Kluyveromyces lactis: one gene and its partners. The protein of the gene in region 2 binds, or shares a complex with, the protein of the main gene of each other region. Links are inferred from orthologs where the notes say so. Each region holds a gene or a part of one and is shown on either strand. Other genes may lie near its edges.

Region 1 (2,415 bases), on a different chromosome or scaffold from region 2:
TCAATGCTGAACATTGACAATGTCAGAATACCCCAAGCAAAAGTGCAGAAACTCAACCAAATCCGAGGTTTGATTCTCAATAGAATCAAATTATGAGGGATCATACCTAACAAATATCCAACGGTGAAACACGTATTAGCGATATTGAACTGATTTGACTTGAACCCGAGATCCTCTTTCATACCGGAAACATAAGCATTGGTGAAACCGATTCTATCCACATAGTTGATCCAATATTGCAAGCAGACAAAAGAAAGAACGGTCAAATCGACCCGAAATAGCTTGCCCATGGCGTGATTACACTTTGATGTTATTCAGCTGTCCTTCTAGGACTCTTGGCGGTGTATACCAGTACCTATTTCTCTCTGAAGAGATGTCACAATCTGTTGACTCACCAACTTTAAGATGATCAAAAAACCGGAACGATATAGTACAATTTGATGACACTATTTATATACAAACAGATAATAAGTACGTATAAATACCATTCAACACTCAAACGACAGAATTCGAAGCTCTCGATCTGCAGAATCTTCAGGTTTCTTCAGAACCATCCAATAGATCGTTTATCTCTTGTTCTTGCTTGCTGTTACGAGGTTTTTTCACGTGATTGATCTTCTCAGTCAAATACTCATTGATATCGTCTTGTAATCCGGTCAATTGCATCCGCAGTTGCGAAAGCGTGGTATATTGATCGATTCCTGTCTTACTATTGACGTTATCAACCTTCTTTGGGTCACTAGGTTTATCGACGTCTTGATGCCCTTGTTTCAATACATAATCTGAAGCACCAGTAGTTCTTCCCTCCGTAGTCTGGTACCTGGGGTCAGAAGGATCGACTTCGAATTCATGAGTTGATTTGGGTCCGGTATATGTAGCGTGTGGTAAAGACATTGGTTGATCCTTGTGTTCGATACCCTTTTTTATCTTTTTAATACCTTGTTGATGAGATGAGATGATGATTTAACATTAGAAATCTTGACAATATGATAAATAAGAAATGCTATTCATCAGAACATGTCCTGTGACACAATGGGGGAAAAAAAAAGGCATACTAGTAGAAGTAAAGGCTGGGAGTGAGATTCGAGATGTCCTTGATAGAACTTATTAGATAAAAACAGTATTTATACGTAATTACTAAGAGACAGAGAGAGTATATAGAGGTAGTCAAAAAAATACTCCATGTGGAATAATACATTATTAGCAGCCGAGAGAAAACAACACGAATTGGTTAACAGATCACAGCATTCTTAAGCTTGTTGTTCTTCTTCAGTTTCAGGTGCCTTTGGGTTCTTCAACAAGTTGATATCCCTTTGAACCAAACTCAAACTTTGGCCCCTGGAACCATCTTCTCTTTCGAAAGTATAGTTAGAAGCATCAGCTTCGATGTAAACCAAAGCACCTTTCTTGACGTATTGTGTCATGAAATTGATGTGGTTAGTGTTGAAAACAGTGACATTGAACCAGTTTGTGTTGCTGTCCTTTCTTGGCTGAGAAGCAATGGAGTATTTCAAGTAACGAGTATCGTTAGCAGTAGTAAACTCTTGGTATTCGCTACCAATACGGCCGATAATGGACATCTTGGCAAAATCATTGGTGCGGGCAGTGGCCGAAAAGGCACGGCGTTGGGCTAATCTGAACATTGGGTGTTTAATTGTTTAATGATAATGATAATTTATCACTGGGCTGGGAAGTATAACTGTATTTTCACACGTATTCTTCTCATACTAATTCAGTCTTGATATTTGTTAAGGTAATTTATAAAACCGAATTATATCAAATGTCTTTATAAACAAAAATGTATATGAACGGAGAGTAAGAAATGGCACATTTACAATAAGAAAGAACATGCAGATGCGGGAAAAGAGAAACCGTGGCAATGTTTCGCATTGCAAATGGAGATTCTAGTTTCTCTTGTGACAAATTAGATATCAGAGGCGTATATTGTAATGTTTATGCTGTCATGAAACGAGTGCATTTGCTGGTATTTACGTTTATCGCGTCTTTACCAGTAAGAAACTCTTCGAGTTATCACCATTGTTATCCGGGTAATTGAAGCATGTGATAATCACGTGCCTTGTATTCTATTGTCATTACCCGGTTTTGAGTCAATGTTTCCAACATGAAATGCCCCTCGTTGGCTTTGTCTTTCCCCTGTCATCTCGTTCTTTTAAAGGCCTGGTATCTATGCCTGACTCAAATAACAAACTTGACTATCTTCGTTACAGATTGACTTGAGTGCGTTCATTCTAACCCGTGGTTTACTCTAGATATTCTGAGTACTGATATATAAACGAGTACGTTCACAGGAACAATCTCTGTGGGTCTATTACTGGTAAATTGTGGAGTGTGTGATAACGATATTATTTAACGCAGTTTAAGTTCAAGTACAAATTCAAATCAATAATATATAGA
Region 2 (2,981 bases):
ATCCCTACTTTCCCATCCTTACGCTTCATATTTCCATCGTTATCTGTACTGTATAATGACATTTCTTCAATTGAATCGCCATCTCTTATAAGCTTTACTATAAGATCTGAGTACACTTTGCTGTTGCCTGGTACAATCGCATTTCTAAAGATGCCTGGCGGTTTGAAATATAAGGTCGATATTGACTCCGCGGATTTTGATATCTGATCCAGGCAGTAATCTAATGATCCAGACATCCTTTGATGTTGTTAAAAAACACTACACGTACAGATTAGGCACCACCCTCTTTCAGGAAACTGCTATGGAATACAATATTTCATCCAATACTATGTAATTTCTTGAAATACTCCAAATGATTCATTTATCTTTTAACTCGATTATGTTTACATTTTAGTTTTTTTGTTTTCGGTGTTTACGAAATCTTTACGTGAAAAGAGTTGGCATTATGTTAATGGAAAAGGTTGACAGAAGACTTTTAAGGCTCATGCGGCCTTTACATCGGGGTAAGCTAAGCGAGAACTATTGCTTACTTTATTCTATATATGATGATAAATAAACAAGAAAATCAGAATTGGCTATTATTATTCTCTCCATGCGATATAAACCTCATCGGTTCTAAACTTCTGCGTGACAATGGTTTCAGAAAGATCCTTAACAAAGTGGCCTGTTCTGTACTCTAATAGGCCTGCCTGGGCAATCATCACACCATTATCAATACAGAATCTGTCATCAGTTGCGTGTACTTGTCCATTGGACCTGTCTTTACACATTTGGGCCATCATCTCTTGAAGCCTAACGTTGCATCCAACACCACCCACTATTAGCACTTGGTTTGAGTTTACATGGGCCATTGCACGTTCGGTAATCTCCACAAGCATGGCAAATAAATTTTCCTGTAAAGAGTAACATAGGTCTTCTACAGTCACAAGCTGTTCTCCTGTTCTTGAATCAAATAATAATTTATTCTTCAAGTTCTTTTTGAATAGGTCTTTCGCTAAAGTGTCAATATATTGCAAAATACCACTCATTGACAGATCCATTCCCTTAACAGTGTATGGTAATACCACTAATTTTTCTTTATTCTTACACTGTTTAGCCAGTTGTTCAATGTTGTAACCAGGCGATGGTGCATTCGGTATCTTCAAAGTTCTTGCAAATCTGTCTAAACAATTCCCAATGGCGATGTCCAACGTTTCACCAAAGATTCGATATCTTTTCTCGGAGTAAGCAATAACTTGAGTGTTACCTCCACTAACATAGAGCACGACAGGATTTTTAGCTCCTGTGATCTCTCTCCCCATCTCGATATGCCCCACACAGTGGTTAACCCCAACTAATGGTATGTCCCACATCAATGACAAAGTCCTTGCAGCTATAACCACACAATGCAAAGGAGCACCCATTCCAGGTCCTCTAGTGAAACATATCACATCGATCTTTGTGGGATCATCGATCTTGGCCTCCGTTAATGCCTTTCTAATGATTCGTACCACCCAATTCCTATGATGTCTTGCAGTATCTCTTGGTAAAAACCCTTCTCCTGGCGGTGTCACATATGTATCTCTAATATTAGCCAATATTTCAACATCACACTCATACGAAAGGTCACTATCTTCATGTTTTTCTAGCACTGGGTGCTTGATAATACCAACGCCTAACTTGTTGGCAGATCCTTCAAGACCAATTGCCAAATAATAGTTCCTTTTACCTCTTGGTGGAATGCCGTTTAAATTCACCATCTCTTACTGAAAAAAGAATTTTTGACGATAATAGGTATACCTTCAATGAATATCGCACGAACACACGTTGAACTGGTGAGACACACTATATATTCAGGGAGTTGTATTACAGATCAAGATAGTCAACTCATCTCAGTTCAACTTTTCGGTTTTCTCAGATTCCAATTTTTCAAAAAATCATATACACCAATTTTGTGAGTAAAAGATAGCATAGTAAGAGGAGCAACAACAGAAAAAGTGTATCAAACTGCAAGACATAGTCATAGCTGGTCAATCACTCGTTGAGGGGAAAAGATTGTGTACAGAACGTATTTTCAGATTCGATATGAAAAAAGATCTCCGCGACGGGGAATTGAACCCCGATCTCGCACGCGACAAGCGCGAATTCTAACCATTAAACTATCGCGGATTTTGAAATAAAGCACTCACGGTGGGGGTCGAACCCACAATCTTCTGATTAGAAGTCAGACGCGTTGCCATTACGCCACGCGAGCTATTTAATTCGTTGAGTTGCTTGAATTCCCTTTAATTTATGTACGGAAGCCGAAACCACGTGCTAACAATGTGCATCTTTGGATAATTTATTAATGGATTTCACCCTTTGAATCAACGCAAAAATACCTTTTATTAATTGCAACCAGCGGAAATCTTTTTACTACGACAGTGAAACTCCCTGAGCTAATTTTATCTCATTAGCCTCTTTATATTTATCATTAACAACAGAATGTTATAAATACTTCTTCAATATATGAATTAATTGCCATTGGGCAATTAATTGGGGGATAGTATAAACTTTCAGCAATGTTTGATAAAAGACCTTCTAAAATACGTACACCACTGTGAGGTATGAAGCCTCAATCTAGAGGAAGGAGCTGAACATGCAAATCAGTTAGCAACTGAGGTCTTCAAGACTTCATTCGCCGATCACATGACATTCACAGACTCTGTGGACACCTAGAAAAGTTTTCTGCCAAAATTGCGAGGGCGTGTGGTCTAGTGGTATGATTCTCGCTTTGGGTTAGTAGCCTAGCGAAGCTTCGATAAACGAAGTTTAACTACTGCAAAGCATGCGAGAGGCCCTGGGTTCAATTCCCAGCTCGCCCCAGATTTTTTTTAATTTCTGATCTTTTCTACCACTGATTGCAACCCAGTGGAAAGTGTCAAATGAGAATATTTTCGTTCACAAAAGCACGTGATCAGCTCTGTGGCTTCTTGTATATATTAAGCTCTTATTAATAACTG
Region 3 (2,361 bases), on a different chromosome or scaffold from region 2:
ACTGAAATAGGCCCGTAGTTTATTATTATCAGACAGTCGACATGTTGAACTGCTTATTTGTGTAAGATTTAAAAAATTGATAGTAAGGCATATGTATATATACATTAATAAGTTGGCTTGGAAACGGAAGGGGAAAGGAAAAGTTCTACGACCGGTTTGTATCTGTTTGCCAAACCTTTACATATTACCTCAATCATTTTTCTTTTCTTCGTCTGAAAGCTGGTGATGTACTCTGCGTGTCTCCACAACTCGAAATGGTAACGACATCTCACATGACGACGGTCTTCTTTGATTCTAATGCATGGATACGAATTGTCGCTAATCAGTACGATGCTTTATTGTAGAACTTGGCTATAGACTTAGGGATTTCATGACACTGTTGGTAAATATTGCTAGGCTTGATCCTTAACTTTTTTCTTCACTTTCGTTCCTGCATAATATGAATAACGAATGCAATGACACAAATTGTTCTGCGTTTAGTTTTTCTGCCTTAAGAAATTTCATAGTACCATAGGTTAGAAAGTAATAGAAAGATGGGAAGATGATGAAAAGGCACCCCGAACGTGTACTGTTCTGTTTGCATTAGCACAACTCATCAATAGTTTCTACGATTGTCTTGATTGATTCAATGACACTGTTCACACCTACACGTAAAATACGCTCGTCAACGCTTTCAAAATCACATATAAGTTTGGTGTCTTGCGTAGAATAAGTAACTTGGAAATCCTCTGGTTTCATGATGGGGTCTGGAAGCAGCACTTTCCTTGCTACATCAGCTTGTTTAATGCTTTCAAATGGTATTTCCAAATGTCTGTACGGCATTTTACATCACAACTTGTTAGTATTTCAAGTTATAAACTTGCATTCATAAGAGCCAGAAATAACATACAAAGAGTGCTCGAAAGACGTGTCTCCTTTATTCATCTTAAAAGAGTACTATTTATCCGCTGATTGAACTCACTACTGCAGCAAGTTTCAAGTGTGTATCATTCATAAAGATCTCAAAGTCAATAAGTTCATCCTGAACATGAACCACACACAGTACGGATGCGTTTTTCGAAGACTTTTTTGATTTCTAATTGGGTAAAAATAACAGAACATCAAGTTTGAAGGTAGTTTAGATCAAGCATGGATTTAAGTCTTTAATATCTGACTTACTATCAAAATGCCCGTCCTGGTACCAGGTGCGAAGATAATTTATTATCAGCTAAGGATTGGCAGGCCGATCTTCAAGGATAAAATTTTCTCATGGCCAGAATGCCTGACGAGTCTAACGTAACTAAACAAGAATTAGGGATATATAACGGTGTCTCATTTACAATTGTCACAAAGCTTTTAGCAGAAGGTGCTAAATCGTACCAACTTGGTTCGAAACTCTTAGATGATGAGAAGCTTCTCGCTAATAAGAAATTTGAATATTCGGGGGAACTGCTCATCGTAGATTCGGTGTTTTCAGGATCTGGCCGGGATAAAGACTGCGATTTCGCCACGAACGTCATAGCACAATTCTTTGAGCAGGTTATTGTCCCTTACCGCCTAATAAAAACTACATCCAAGTCATCTGTCATAGAACTGGCCTCGAGCATTGACAGCACTAGACAGTACACTGTTCTCTTTCTTTCTGGTGATACATCGATATCAGAATTCGTTAATAACCTGCCCTTGAACCACGACTGTATTTCAGTGCTTCCATTCCCAATGGGTACAGGAAATGCATGGGCAAGCTCTTTGAAGTTGATGGATCCAGCTGTCATATTCTCACAATTTGTCAATGGTAAGTTGTCCTGCAACGATTTCCCGTTGTATAGGGCAACTTTTGACAACGGTTATGTCCTTAAATTCTTCATAATTTTGTCACTGGGATTTCATGCAAATTTACTTCATCTCTGCGAAGAAGATGAGTACCAGAAAATGGGCATTGAAAGGTTTAGAGTTGCTAGCCAGCGAATTTTAAGAGAATACAAGCTCGAATCTCGCGTCTCTATTCCCGATATTCTGGAAGGATCTTTTAGTTATTTTGCGTTAATAAATACCACAAATCTGGAGCCAACTTATATGCCATCTCCCGATTCTGATCCATTGGAATCACAACTACATGTATTGGCATACCAGTCTTCTCTGGATAGAGTAGAATTCCAGAAAAGGGTATTTATGGGTTATTCAAATACGAAGCATTCAAACATCTTACAGAATGGAACGTTTTACAGACCACTGCCATTTTGTTTTAACGTCGAAGTACTAGACGATCCGTCACAAAAGAGCAACTTTGAAGTTTGCTGTGATGGGCAACTTCTTAACTTACTAGAGTTAGAGGGAAAGAATACTCCACCATCCACGATAAGAATTGAGACTTGTACGGAG
Region 4 (2,429 bases), on a different chromosome or scaffold from region 2:
GTCAAGCTAAAGAAATCCTCTGCCAGAAGGAAGCTCGAAGAATTAAATAAAGTGTTAAGAAACAATCCTTACATGACAATGACAAATGGTAGAATGAAGAAGAAAGATACTGTACCGTTCACACCATTCAATGGGGACAGGGATTTACACAAAAGATACGAATTGGTTGAAAACGAGTATAATGATTCTTTCATCAGAGACTTACAAAAGAAGAAGGAATATATAGCCTCAGGATTCAGGGCGGACTTCATTTATGATAGAATGTTAACAGAGGCATTCATGGGTCTTGGTTGTATCATTAGCGAAGAATTACAATCCTCTTAGTTGTATCGCGTTGACGGCAAGTGTTGATAACTCTTCGTTTGATACATCTCCTACTTTATTCAATTTGTAATTCTACCGAAAAAAAAAACACATAGTACAATGGTAAAGAGCTCGGTAGCTCTTTATCCTCATCATAATCATATAGCATTTAGGTTAGTAATCTATTCATTATTAAGAGTCTTCTCATTTGTTCATAACTTATCACAAGGAATACATACCGTTTTGATAATTTCTTTATCGGCAGATGTAGAAAACTCATCATCCGAGACTGGAACTAGGTCCCCATCAACGGAAGCATTGCCATCATAGGGTTCTTCATTACTGTCTTCAATGATTTTGATCACAATTATATCAGTTGTTCCTTCCTTTATACCAAATCTGTTCAATGCATCGCCAATGTTCGAACTAGGAGATAGTGATAAAATGCATTCAGAATGGATAGTTCTTGTCCGCATTCTATTGTACTCTGTTTCCAAAATAGCCTTATAGATGGCACTCGACAATTGTTCAACGGATATCACAGTTTTGGAGTCGATGTATGCAAAAGGTAATTCAGCCAATTTGGATCGTAGCTCAGAAGAATTGGTAACATTGTTATACTTCTGAACATGAATAGTATACTCCTGAAACTGAGGAATCTTGTACTTCAAAACTATTCCAGCCATTTGTCTTGTGATGAGCTCTTGGAACTTCTTGGATGCAAGTCGCCTACTATCGGTCCTTCTTTTAACTTCACTTTCTGATTATCTGTACTGTTACTGACTTACTATTTAAATCTTTCAAATCAATCCGAGTAGTTTCTAGCGTAGAAAGATTGATAGAAAACCATGAGTACACAAACTTTACAAAAGGTTCAGAACAAGAAAACACAATAAGTGATCACTTTGCTATATCAACGGTATATGTACTGTCAATGGAGCTTCCAGACGAGGAAAACGTTTGGGATAGTGTTTTTGAGGAAAGGCAGTTGAGCGAAGTAGTACGGGATCAAGGACCAAATGATCTCGAACGACCAGCAGCGCATAAAGAACCAATTGCTACCGAACAACCACTGGGGAATAAGCTTGAGAATCAGAAAGATGATGATGATGACGAATATATTAGAAAAGTTCGTACAGCTGTAGAACAATTCGAAAAGGCAGGCTTCTTCGAGGATTTAGACGATACTAAAAAGGGTTCAAAAACAAAAGCCATGGTATATAAGCTAGCAGACGAGGTGATAGCCCGACATAAAGACAAACTCTTACGCATAAGAGACCCAAATTATGATAAGTGGTCTGAACCATTAAAAACCCCCATGATAGATAAATATCATGAAATCAAAGAAGAATGGAGACGTGAGGAAACGAACCACGGTTCCAGTAGTTTAAACAACAGTTCAATGACTACACAGAATGTTACATTTGCATGGAGTTCAAATGCTCATCGACCGGAGCTGACCGCACCAAAGAAGCCTTTGGAACCGCATTCCAATAAGAAATCAACAAATGAAATACTACGGAGTAAAGCAATGAAAAGCGCTCATGAATTAAGAAGTAAGCAAATTCTGCTCAATAAACTGCGGGATAAAAATGATAGAAACAATCTGCCTTCACAGGATGGTGATGATGTCAAGCCGAAATTTAAAATGGATCCCTTGGAACCATTTGTCGCCAAAGCTTTACCGAGAGAGAAGAAGAAGCGACCAAAGGAGAAAAGGAAGAGCAAATTTTGGTTTTGGGGATCCCTTACCCATCATACTGACGAAGGAAACCACAGAGACAAAGCTAGGTCGCCAGAGCTTGAAGATTATAAAATTGGTGTTGTATCACCGAATTCGCGGTCCCCCACGTTATCGATTCCTTTCTCTGATCCCGATAACACTCAGACTATTACCAATAACGCAGTATCGGACAACATTAACCATCACCTGTCGCTAATAGACCTCGACGATGACGAGGAACACTTAAAGTGTTCAACGCCACCGTTAATACTGTGATACGTACTTTTTTTAGGCCTAATATATTTATTTCTCATCCTATTTAAATATCATCTACATTAGCACTGTAACTATATACCTTTTTTTGAGCCGGCGTTATTATAACTTGTTCTCTGCGTACCGGGGT

The links.
Region 1: KAE1 (region 2) and GON7 share a complex: the UniProt entries of both Saccharomyces cerevisiae proteins name them as parts of the EKC/KEOPS complex. The link is inferred for Kluyveromyces lactis from reciprocal best matches to the Saccharomyces cerevisiae genes KAE1 and GON7.
Region 3: KAE1 (region 2) and PCC1 share a complex: the UniProt entries of both Saccharomyces cerevisiae proteins name them as parts of the EKC/KEOPS complex. The link is inferred for Kluyveromyces lactis from reciprocal best matches to the Saccharomyces cerevisiae genes KAE1 and PCC1.
Region 4: KAE1 (region 2) and CGI121 share a complex: the UniProt entries of both Saccharomyces cerevisiae proteins name them as parts of the EKC/KEOPS complex. The link is inferred for Kluyveromyces lactis from reciprocal best matches to the Saccharomyces cerevisiae genes KAE1 and CGI121.

What each region holds. Positions count from the first base shown.
Region 1 is NC_006037.1:564,655-567,069, reverse strand, and holds GON7 (chromatin DNA-binding EKC/KEOPS complex subunit GON7), read right to left. Parts: upstream 895-2,415; coding exon 535-894; downstream 1-534. Other genes in the region: FEN2 (Fen2p), read right to left, coding at 1-290; RIM1 (Rim1p), read right to left, coding at 1,251-1,643. UniProt on the Saccharomyces cerevisiae protein: Component of the EKC/KEOPS complex that is required for the formation of a threonylcarbamoyl group on adenosine at position 37 (t(6)A37) in tRNAs that read codons beginning with adenine.
Region 2 is NC_006042.1:1,999,396-2,002,376, forward strand, and holds KAE1 (tRNA N6-adenosine threonylcarbamoyltransferase), read right to left. Parts: upstream 1,740-2,981; coding exon 582-1,739; downstream 1-581. Other genes in the region: SPC34 (Spc34p), read right to left, coding at 1-236. UniProt on the Saccharomyces cerevisiae protein: Component of the EKC/KEOPS complex that is required for the formation of a threonylcarbamoyl group on adenosine at position 37 (t(6)A37) in tRNAs that read codons beginning with adenine.
Region 3 is NC_006037.1:48,851-51,211, forward strand, and holds PCC1 (chromatin DNA-binding EKC/KEOPS complex subunit PCC1), read right to left. Parts: upstream 925-2,361; coding exon 890-924; intron 812-889; coding exon 583-811; downstream 1-582. Other genes in the region: KLLA0_A00550g (uncharacterized protein), read left to right, coding at 1,249-2,361. UniProt on the Saccharomyces cerevisiae protein: Component of the EKC/KEOPS complex that is required for the formation of a threonylcarbamoyl group on adenosine at position 37 (t(6)A37) in tRNAs that read codons beginning with adenine.
Region 4 is NC_006039.1:1,297,975-1,300,403, forward strand, and holds CGI121 (Cgi121p), read right to left. Parts: upstream 990-2,429; coding exon 516-989; downstream 1-515. Other genes in the region: TFIIH/NER complex subunit TFB3, read left to right, coding at 1-324; LFT1 (Lft1p), read left to right, coding at 1,238-2,302; KLLA0_C14916g (uncharacterized protein), read right to left, coding at 2,346-2,429. UniProt on the Saccharomyces cerevisiae protein: Component of the EKC/KEOPS complex that is required for the formation of a threonylcarbamoyl group on adenosine at position 37 (t(6)A37) in tRNAs that read codons beginning with adenine.